2 linked regions of the Drosophila melanogaster genome follow. The protein of the gene in region 2 purifies or fractionates together with the protein of the main gene of each other region. This does not show direct contact. Each region holds a gene or a part of one and is shown on either strand. Other genes may lie near its edges.

Region 1 (3,991 bases), on a different chromosome or scaffold from region 2:
TCCTTGACGAACTGCTCGTAGTTGCGCTCGTAGTTGTCCTCGCCGGAGTAGCCCTCGTGGCTGGTCTCCGCACTAAGGCTGTCCACATCGTCAACGGCCGCCGCCTCTGCATCCGTCTCAACATCCACGTCCACGTCCTCATCCACCTTGGCCTGCGCTTCGTTGGCTGGCAGGATGGGCTGCATCAACTGCGGCAGTTTGACCACCTTCGATTGGTCCACATCCGTGACGGTGAGAGCGTCCAGGCGCTGGAGCAGCTTGCCGGGCGCAAAGGCCTCCCAGTAGTTGACGCTTCGGTCGTAGCTGTCCGCCAGGGAGACGGCCAAGCCGAGTAGCAGCAGCTCCGGCAACAGCATCGCATAGAAATCTGCGACTTCCGTCGCCTGCCGTCGCTTTTATGGACTCGACACTCGGCCTGACTCGACTGCACGCCACTTCACTTCACTGCAGATGGAAGCGGGTCCAATGGAGCGCGTCCAAACCGCAGAGCCATCAGGAAGTGTGGCCCAACTGATCCGCGAGGAGGGAAGTGCGAGTGAAAGGCAAGATTTATTTCGTGTAGCCAATCAACTAAATCGAACAAAAGAAAGGGGAAACAGAATGCAGGTGGTCGGTTGTGGAATGGTCAGAGTGGGTGAGGCTGGTGAGGTTGGTGAGGTTGGCTAGGGGCTGGTGCAGCTACAACTACGCCGCTCGCTGTCCGGCGGTCAGTCGCTGAGCGCCCACAGTGGGCGGGGCCGGGCGGACGGGCGGCTGTCGCTGATGGCGCAACTCACGACGCTTCTCACGCAGAATGTGCTTGGTCTGGGAGGTGTCCAGCTCCTCCCAGCCGCCGGCATTATCATCCACCCAGTCCTCGAGATCGGCCTGCCGAGTAAGAAACATTAGTTCGTTTCATGCATTCCATTCGGGCTATAACTGGCTCACATTTACGCTAATTGGCACCAAGTCCTGGGCCTGCAGTCTTGAAAAGTCACTTTGTTGGCTGGTCGCCGCACTCGTGGATGGATCCTCCAGGTAGAACTTCATCTGCGGCTTGATGGTGGGCGTCAGCTCCTAAAAGAAGGTTACATTTTAGCCAAATCGTTGAGGATATGAAACACAGATATTATAAATACTTATATATTCTATATATAGTCATATAAAGAATATATGCATTGTGATTCACAATTTTTTTATTTGCTTGTTTTTACTTTTGTAGGTATTAACTAACTTATTTAGCTGGATGGTTCTTCATGTTTTTTATTTTTTACTTAAATCAATGCCTGTTGCGTAGAAATAATATGGAGTTTTTGTTCATAAAACAGATACCTCAATATGAACAATTAGCAAACTAAAAACGGCTGTTCATTAACAAATATTATTCAGCGTTGTAAGCACTCACTTTTTAGTTTACTATGCAAGTTTTCTATATTTTATAGCTTTAAAAATCATAGGATAAATATTTTGACATTTGCATTTGTCAAATCTGCAAGTATCTATTAACAAATAATGCGTTTAAGTACACTCTTTAAGTATTCCTGGTTCAAATGTTGTGGACTCATAAAATCATATTTTTGAAATTTCTAAAAAACTATTGAAATATTAACAAATTATCACAGTAATAAGCTAAATATTCATATTTTTTAAGTAAACCTTTTAAATATTCCACAAATATTTAGTTAAACACAACTAGAAATTAAGCGTAATTTGAAATAAATGGTTGTGAATAGTTTCGAAAATGATTTCTTTCTAGATTTTTATACCTGTCGTTTTCTATGGCTGCTAATCTTTATGACGTGATTATGGCCCACATACAAACTTGTGCAGTTGATAGGGTATAGGGTAAACACGCCGAAGTCACCTAGATACGTGTACAGGTGGGGATGTCGCCATTTAGCCCCAACATAGCCCACTATCCCACCATCAGCGAGCGTGAATATCCCTACAATTGGGCTACGACTATGGGCCGTGCAAGCGGCGCAATCTGCGTAATCCGCGCCCATTGCCTGAGTACCAACTCACACTGAAGAAGTCCGGTTCGGGTTCCTCCTTGGGCGGAGTGGGTGGCTGGGCCATTCGCTGGCGGTACTGCTCGATGTGCTCCTCCACGGTGCGCGGACTGTCGTCCCAGGAGTTCCAGTCCCGCTCGCGCGCCCCCGCTGTCCTGCCACCGCCGGCCTGGCCAGCGGAGGTGGCGCCGGTGGCGGAGAAGTCGCCTCGCTCCACGATCACGTTGACCGCTTGCAGTTGGTCGGCGGATCCGGTGGCGGAGCCGCTGTGGCTGAGCTTGCGGCGCCTGGAGAAGCAGCACAAGGCACGCCGGCACAGCGTGATGATGCCCAGCACCAGCATCTTGATTTGCTGCAGCATTGTCACCTGGTTAACTATCCTATTCTATATTATTTACTAAATTTCAGTTTCTTGGACCCCGTTAGTGTGACCGCCACGTGGACAGCGGCGAATACCAAATGGTTGTACTAAGCTACCGACTTCTCTATTTGTAAATACCGAAAACTGTGACATTACCGTTAAGTATTAAACAGTTTAACTGTGATTTTTGAATTTATGTTTTTTCCTTTTTTGAAAAATACTGTATCACATTCATTTTTCCAAGCTATTATATTAAATATTAAATATATATGTTTCATTATCAAATTTCCATTTTAAGAACAAGCTGTTTTTTTCTTTATCGCAAATGATACTTTTGACAATTTAATTTCCCATCTAAAAACATGTTTTGGTTTTATTTGCTTAATACTTCTCGTAATTGTACCTAAATTACCTCAATAATTCACGATATGTTTTGTTAAAAAAAAAGGAAGGGGGGGGGGGGGTGGTAGAGTTTTTTTTATTGGACCATTGCACTACGTCCCTGGTTATCAACATCCTCGTGATCAACGTTGTTGCGTTCGATTTTGTTACGCCTCCGAAACTTGACGATCAGCACTTCGAGGACCCAAGGAGCGGCGCACAGGATCATGAAGCCGTTTAGGATGTGAAAGACGAAAATGTAATCCCTGGTCTTGTCCCGAATAAACCCAACAATGGGACCGATGAGGAACATGGCATTGCCTTGGATGAACATGAAAAGGCCATAGCCAGTGGCGAACCTTAAACGAGATGGAAATATATGAGGAATATATATTATAATTTTGTGATAAATGCTATAAGCTTGCCAAAAGAACCCACCTTTCCTTGGGCAAGTAGTCGGCAAAGACCAGAGGCAGTGGAACGTGGAGCCAGGTGCGCAGAAATCCAATGACCGCCGTGATGCAGGCCATGCCCACAAACTGTGTGATTCCGTTGAAGGCTGTGGGAAAATGAGTGAGATTAGTGGGAGGAAGGGAGTTCTTGGAGCCCAAGGAAGGGTTCGCCTACCGAATCTCGCAAAGACGGTGAAAACGGCTCCGGCCAAATAAATGTATCTCGAAGGAACCTGGATGCACACGGCGGTGATGGCCAGGAAAATACGAGATGCCAAGTCTGCGGCCGCTCCAATGGCGATAATGGTGGCCGTGTCGGGCTGAAAAAAAACAATATTATTTATGGGATGTAGAAGTTACTGAAAGAACTGGAAATAACCTGGTAATCGCAATAATCAGACTGGGAAAACCACTTAGAAATCGTTTATATATTCTTACGGTAAGCTTATGTTATTTTTATGTTTTTCTTTTACAAGGTTTTTAATTTTTTTTTTTTAATCTGTAAAATACTGTTTCCGATTAGCCGTTTTTTAACGGCGAAAGCGGACAAAGTGAATTCGAATAATTCAAAATGGCGTCGCGTTCGTTTCTGCCTTTTTTTGTGAACGTTTTTTATTCTTTTAAGTTGCTTCTAAATCTCATATAACTTAATTTTTGTTATCGATTTCAGATTTATCAGTTGCTTATATGATCGCTCAAAGTGTTAAGTTTGGTGTGCGTTAAAAGTTAGTAATTATTATTGAAACTGCGTTTTCGCAAGTAAATTTTGGCATTTTGTGATACCTAAAAGAAATCTATTTGTATAT
Region 2 (5,597 bases):
CTTGCATTTCCTGCGTCATCGCTGCCTCCTCGATGAAGTCGCGGGTTATGGGACTCACTTTGGAAAGCTCCTGGCTGCGGCTCACCTCCTCCAGGTCGTACTGCAATTTTCGGAACAGCTGTGAGCTGAAAAAGTCGTGCTCCTTGCGCAATGAATGAGGCACCTGGAATAGCGGCTGTCCGATGTTGATAGTGCCACCTTCCTTGTGGTTACCACGATTTCTACCGGTTGCCATGGTGGTCAAAACAATGCAAACAGAAATGGAAACGAGAAACAAAATAAAAAAAAAAAAACCAATATTTATCGACTGGCTACTATGAAAACATTCAATGAACAAATTGTAGTATTTGATTTTATATTTACATTCTTAATTGTGGAGCTATTATGAGCAATATACATTTGGTCGCAATATATGTATGTACATACAAGCAATTAAATTCAGGTCCTTTGTCAATATTTTCGGTGAATGGCAAAAACGATCTTAAAATCACCATTCACTACGAAAGTTTTACTATAAAAGCAATTTAAAATTTAAAATTGTTGGTCATTAGATGACTATATATATTTTTATATATTTTTTTTCAAAATCATAGTTAACAAATTGAATTGATAATGAAGGCGAAAATGTTAAATGCGAAATGTTCTCAGTTGTTGAAGGCAGTCGGGAAATACTTCTTGTCCTTCTCCACGATGCTCTCCAGAAGATCGTCGATGTCAGTGTTGGGGTAGCGCTCCACCCATGACTGGATGTACCCCTCGTGGGTGGGCTCGTAGGTCTTCAGCTGGACCTTTTGGTCCTGGCCGATCGCCGTGTTGGCCTGGACGAGAATCATACGCGGCTTCTTGTGCGCCAGGCAGATATCCCGCCACTTGGCCCACGGATGCGATCCGCTCTCGTCGACCTTCGAGTAGTGTTCGTACATCTTGGAAGCTGCCTCGATGTCGGCGGTGGATTTGTACACCTGCAGCTTGGTCAGGAAATCGCCCAGCGCCTTCCTGCCCACGGTATCGATCTTGCTGCGATCCACCGTCAGCAAAAGGTTTTTACCCTTTTCGGTTTCCTCGACCTTAACGAGTCCTTCGCCTGCCTCCAGCAGCACCTTCATGATCACGAAACGAGCGCGAGAGTGCGCCTGGAGCCACAGCTTGGACTTCGGGTTGAACATTTCCAGAGCCACACCCATGCCGTTCCAGATGAGACTCAGCCAGTTGACATAGATGATGTTGTCCTGCTCGGCTTTGTCCTTGAAGCCAAAGATCTCCAGGATGTCACGCTGCAGGGAGAGATACAAGCCCACCGCCTCGGCGCGGCATTCCTCGTACGAGGAACCAATTGCTCCGAACTTGGTGTCGTAAGTTTCTCCAGGAAGATACCACTTGGTGATGGGTTCACCGGTGACCAGGTTCTTAGTGTTCTCCTTGTCAAAGTTGTACACACCATTTTCGTCGATGCGGAATAGCTTGCCACTACCATGGCCTAGGAGTTCATGGAGGCCCACTTGCACCTCAAAAGCCTTCACCTTGTACTCTTTCATCAGAGTTTGATCCTCCTCGGTGAGGAAAGGAATGGGATCCTTGCGGTTGATGTTGGCCAGCACATTGCCCAGCGAGACGTTCTTGAAGCCTTCATCCTGGCGGATTTCGTCGTAATTGGGAATATTGATGCCCGCTGGTACTCCGCTGCCGGCAAATGTGAGGACATCCAGGGATGTGAAGTCTGGCTTCAGGTAAGAGTCCTTCTCGTAAGGCTCCGTCCAGGGCAGGTACTCTATTAGTTTCTCGGCGCGGTTCACCAGCTCGGAGAATTTGGCCGAGCTCTCCTTGTTCACCATGGCCACGAAGCCCTCGAATTCAGCCCGACCTCCAGCAGGATCCCTGTATGTCTCAATGAAACCAATGTAGGTCTCGATGACAGGTCCCTTGTCCTTGATCCACCAACGCGATCCGTTCTTGTGCTCGTCCAGCGAGCCCTGTTCAAAGGATCGGACATAGTGCTCGATCATCTTGGACTCGTTTTCATTGGCTGCGTATTTCTGGGCCTGCAGCAGATGCTGGTTGACGCGCTGAAGCAGCTTCTGGTAATCACCGCGTGTCACCCTAAACTTGTTGCCATTATACTCTTCCAGCGGAAGTGTGATGCCGTCCTGCGTGGACTCCGCCACGGAGCCCAGCTTTACATCGTAGACGGTTTGACCATTTTCAACTATCTTGAAGGTCCGGCACATGTACGGTTCGATACGCTTTGAGGTCAGCCAAGCGTTCACGATCTCGGAGTCCTCCTTGGTGCAGTTATCCGACCAGTAGGTGGTGATTCCGTCGGGAGCAAAGCCCAGGATCTCGTTACGCGACTCGAGCGCATAAATCAGATTCTTGACCTTCTCGAAGATCTTGCCTACGCGCGGCTCATCGCTGTAAGCAGCGGATGCCTTTACTATAGTCTCAAATTGCTTTTCTGAGAGATTGGGAACGATCTTGCTGTCGCCCATACCCTTGTAGTTGCCCGCGTTGGCGAACACACCGCAGGCGTACACTAGGAAGGCCTGAAAGTGATCAAAATTAATATTTATTTTCGAGAATATGAAACTCTCCTCTGCCATACCGTAAAATCATCAGCAGACACTCCCGCCTCCAGGGCTTTCGCCCTAAGAACAGGAATCTTTTCGGCTAGGAAAATGCGGTGCAGCAGGGAGAAGATGAGCGGCGCCTCCGGACTGGACTGGATCAAGGCAATGAGTCCGCCGTCCCAGGAGGCCTGGCTGAAGTGGTGGGCGTAGAGCTTCTCCTTCTCGGTGAGATTCTCGAAGGCACTCTTGCAGTCCAAATCGGCAATGGGCTGCGTGTTAGGCAGGACGAAGTGCGCGGTTTTACTGGCCATCTCAGCGGGTTGGGGAAGGTTGGTGCTGCAGCTGCAAAGATATCATATGGCGAACCGGACCGATTATATACATGGGCTTTAGATAACACCTGGCAAATACCTGTAACGAACGAGGGAGCTACAAAATCCCAAACTTCTGGAGATTGACGGTTGGACTGAGCGAATACTGGGACTGGTCCCGTAATTTAGACGACTACGGAAATGACACAGCCTGTTCAGTTGCTGCCGGGATCTCTGTAGCCCTCTTAGCCAAAACATTACTGGGAATTTTTTGAGAGTATTCTATTTGAAGACTTTACATTACTTGTCGCCCAACTGGAAAATGTGAAAAGGCTACTTTAATTTGGATGAAAAGCCAAATAACTCGGGGAACACATGAAAACTTGATAATGCAATTTTATCTCCAGCAAGCCGGCTAAACTGCAGATGTGGCAGTTAAGCGGCGTTTTACCACAAGAATATAGAAAACAAAACTATGGCTAAAATGGAGCCCGAAAACGTGAAGAACTGGCAGAGCCCAAGGAAAATGTGAATGTTTAAGAACTACGTGGTTAGTCAATCGCAAAACAAACAAAAACCCACCGGGCATTCGTGTTTTAAGTGGAAAAGATAATCAATAAGTAATTTCGTGCGTACTTACCTTTAAAAAGTGAGAAAATATGCAGTTAAGAAATGCCGACAAAAGTGCAAGTTGTTCAAGCAGTGTGACCAGCTGCTTTGTGAGTCGATATAACACCACATATGTGTTATATGATATGTGAATGGCAAAATATTGGCGGCATAATTTAAAAACTCCAATGAACACTTTGAAGTAAAGCACATTATTATTATTATATAATTGATTTTCCGTATTTGAACTACCTATGTACAGAAACGTTACTAGTTAACTAATGTATGTGTCGTTACAATTGGTATTTGCATTCGTGTACAGAGTATTTGTGTTTTGTGGGCTTGCTTGCATGATCTCTGTTGATTTTAGGCAATGATATAGCCAAGCCACAACCATACATCGCCACCTATGCCGAGGAAGCAGAGCACCCAGGTGAGTCTGTATAATATGTTATCCATACTGCCGCCTTTTAGAAAAATCGGCAAATCATTGTCCGCCTGAAATTGCTTCCTCAATTTGACCATTTTTGGAGGAACTTTTCCAGGACGTGTCTTCGGAGCTGCAGCTGCAGCAGCAGCATATTTCAAAGCAGCCGAGTTGCGAAATTCACGAATGGGCTTACAAACTGCACCCACATCACCGACTCCCCGAAGGAAGGGCTGATCGGAAAGAACGAATTAAATTAATGTTTTGTATGGAATGGTGGTAACTTACGCGCAAAGAGAAACAGTTTCTTTGCATTTACGTTTCCTGAAACTTTCTGGAGTATTCGGAACAAAATTTTGTCTGCCTTTAACTATCGAATAATGTTTAAGTGACACTATTACTATAAGCCATCTTTGATGGATTTAAGATTTCTGGAAGGGTTTCACACAGAGCCTAGGCTCCGATTTTTATATGGAGTAATTTATTTTTCAATTTAAATAGGTAAAAACAACCACTTTCATTTCAAAGTACATATGTCTGTGTGCCACTCTTCTTCTTTTAATGCCAAATTAGGTCACACTATTCGCTCTCTAGTGAATTTTGGTGTCAATATTAAGCAATGCTCTTATTTATTGATTAACCAAAATGTCTATGGCTAAATACCTAAACCGATCCGTTGGAAAAGCTGGCAAGGATGTGGCCGCCAGGATATGCACCCTTAAACCCACTGAGCCGGAACACCATTCTATACACCTGACCGCTGGGGAGAATTTCGTGGGACGCAGCCGGGAGACCGGCATCCGAGATTCCAAGTGCTCGAAGCGACAGATTCAACTGCAAGTGGACCTAAAAAAGGCTGTAGTTTCACTTAAAGTCCTGGGAGTTAATCCCTGCGGCGTCAATGGTCTGATGCTTATGCAGAACGGGGAACGCGAGCTGAAGCACGGAGACTTGGTGGAGATCGTTTACGGCAGGCATCAGTTCGAGGTCGTCTTTAACCCTCCACCGGAGTATGACAAGGAGAAAGCTGAGCCGTTGTCCACAACACTATCACCGTCAGAGAAATCCGAGAGGTGGGACTCATCTGGCAATGGTAAGCTGGTTATCTTTACCAGCGTCGGCGTTAAAGGTTCTGAAAAGATAGCTGGCTACGACATGGACGGCACCATTATAAAAACAAAATCGGGACTGGTGTTCCCCAAAAACACCGACGACTGGCAGATCATATTTCCCGAAGTGCCGGAGAAACTAAAGAATCTCCACAAGGATGGGTTTAAAATCTGTCTCTTCACCAACCAAGGAGGCATTGCTCGTGGAAAAATCAACCTAGATGACTTTAAGGTCAAGATCAAGCATATTGTGGCTAAACTGGGAGTTCCAATTCAAGTATTTATAGCCATAGGTGATGGATTTTATCGCAAACCTTTGACGGGAATGTGGCAGCACTTAAAGAGTGAAATGAATGATGGCGTTGAGATTCAGGAAGATCGATGTTTCTTCGTCGGCGATGCAGCCGGAAGACCGGAGACGGGCAAGGGAGCCACCAAGCGGCGCAAAGATCACTCTTTAGTAGACAGACTTTTTGCAGCCAACGTGGGAATTTCATTCTACACTCCAGAGGTTCATTTCCTGGGCAAACAAGTGGAGCAGTGGAATAAGCCGGACTTTGAACCCACTAGCGTTCAG

Evidence for each region. Proteins that work in one complex are often made in the same cells at the same time.
Region 1: the proteins of DppIII (region 2) and CG32536 purify together in Drosophila melanogaster (affinity purification with mass spectrometry, with the first as the bait; one large-scale study listed by BioGRID). This does not show direct contact.

The regions. Positions count from the first base shown.
Region 1 is NC_004354.4:19,274,473-19,278,463, forward strand, and holds CG32536 (uncharacterized protein), read right to left. Parts: upstream 2,427-3,991; 5' UTR 2,353-2,426; coding exon 2,005-2,352; exon of another isoform or gene 1,746-2,004; intron 1,057-1,745; coding exon 928-1,056; intron 868-927; coding exon 685-867; 3' UTR 532-684; downstream 1-531. Other genes in the region: CG32537 (uncharacterized protein), read right to left, coding at 1-356; CG8028 (uncharacterized protein), read right to left, coding at 2,831-3,092, 3,172-3,292, 3,361-3,505.
Region 2 is NT_033777.3:8,342,402-8,347,998, reverse strand, and holds DppIII (dipeptidyl aminopeptidase III), read right to left. Parts: upstream 3,600-5,597; 5' UTR 3,516-3,599; intron 3,191-3,515; 5' UTR 3,134-3,190; coding exon 2,976-3,133; intron 2,907-2,975; coding exon 2,600-2,906; intron 2,541-2,599; coding exon 645-2,540; 3' UTR 534-644; downstream 1-533. Other genes in the region: CG7352 (uncharacterized protein), read right to left, coding at 1-235; COX7AL (cytochrome c oxidase subunit 7A-like), read right to left, coding at 3,851-4,144, 4,200-4,226; PNKP (polynucleotide kinase 3'-phosphatase), read left to right, coding at 4,557-5,597. UniProt on the Drosophila melanogaster protein: Degrades neuropeptide proctolin (RYLPT) by cleavage between Tyr and Leu residues.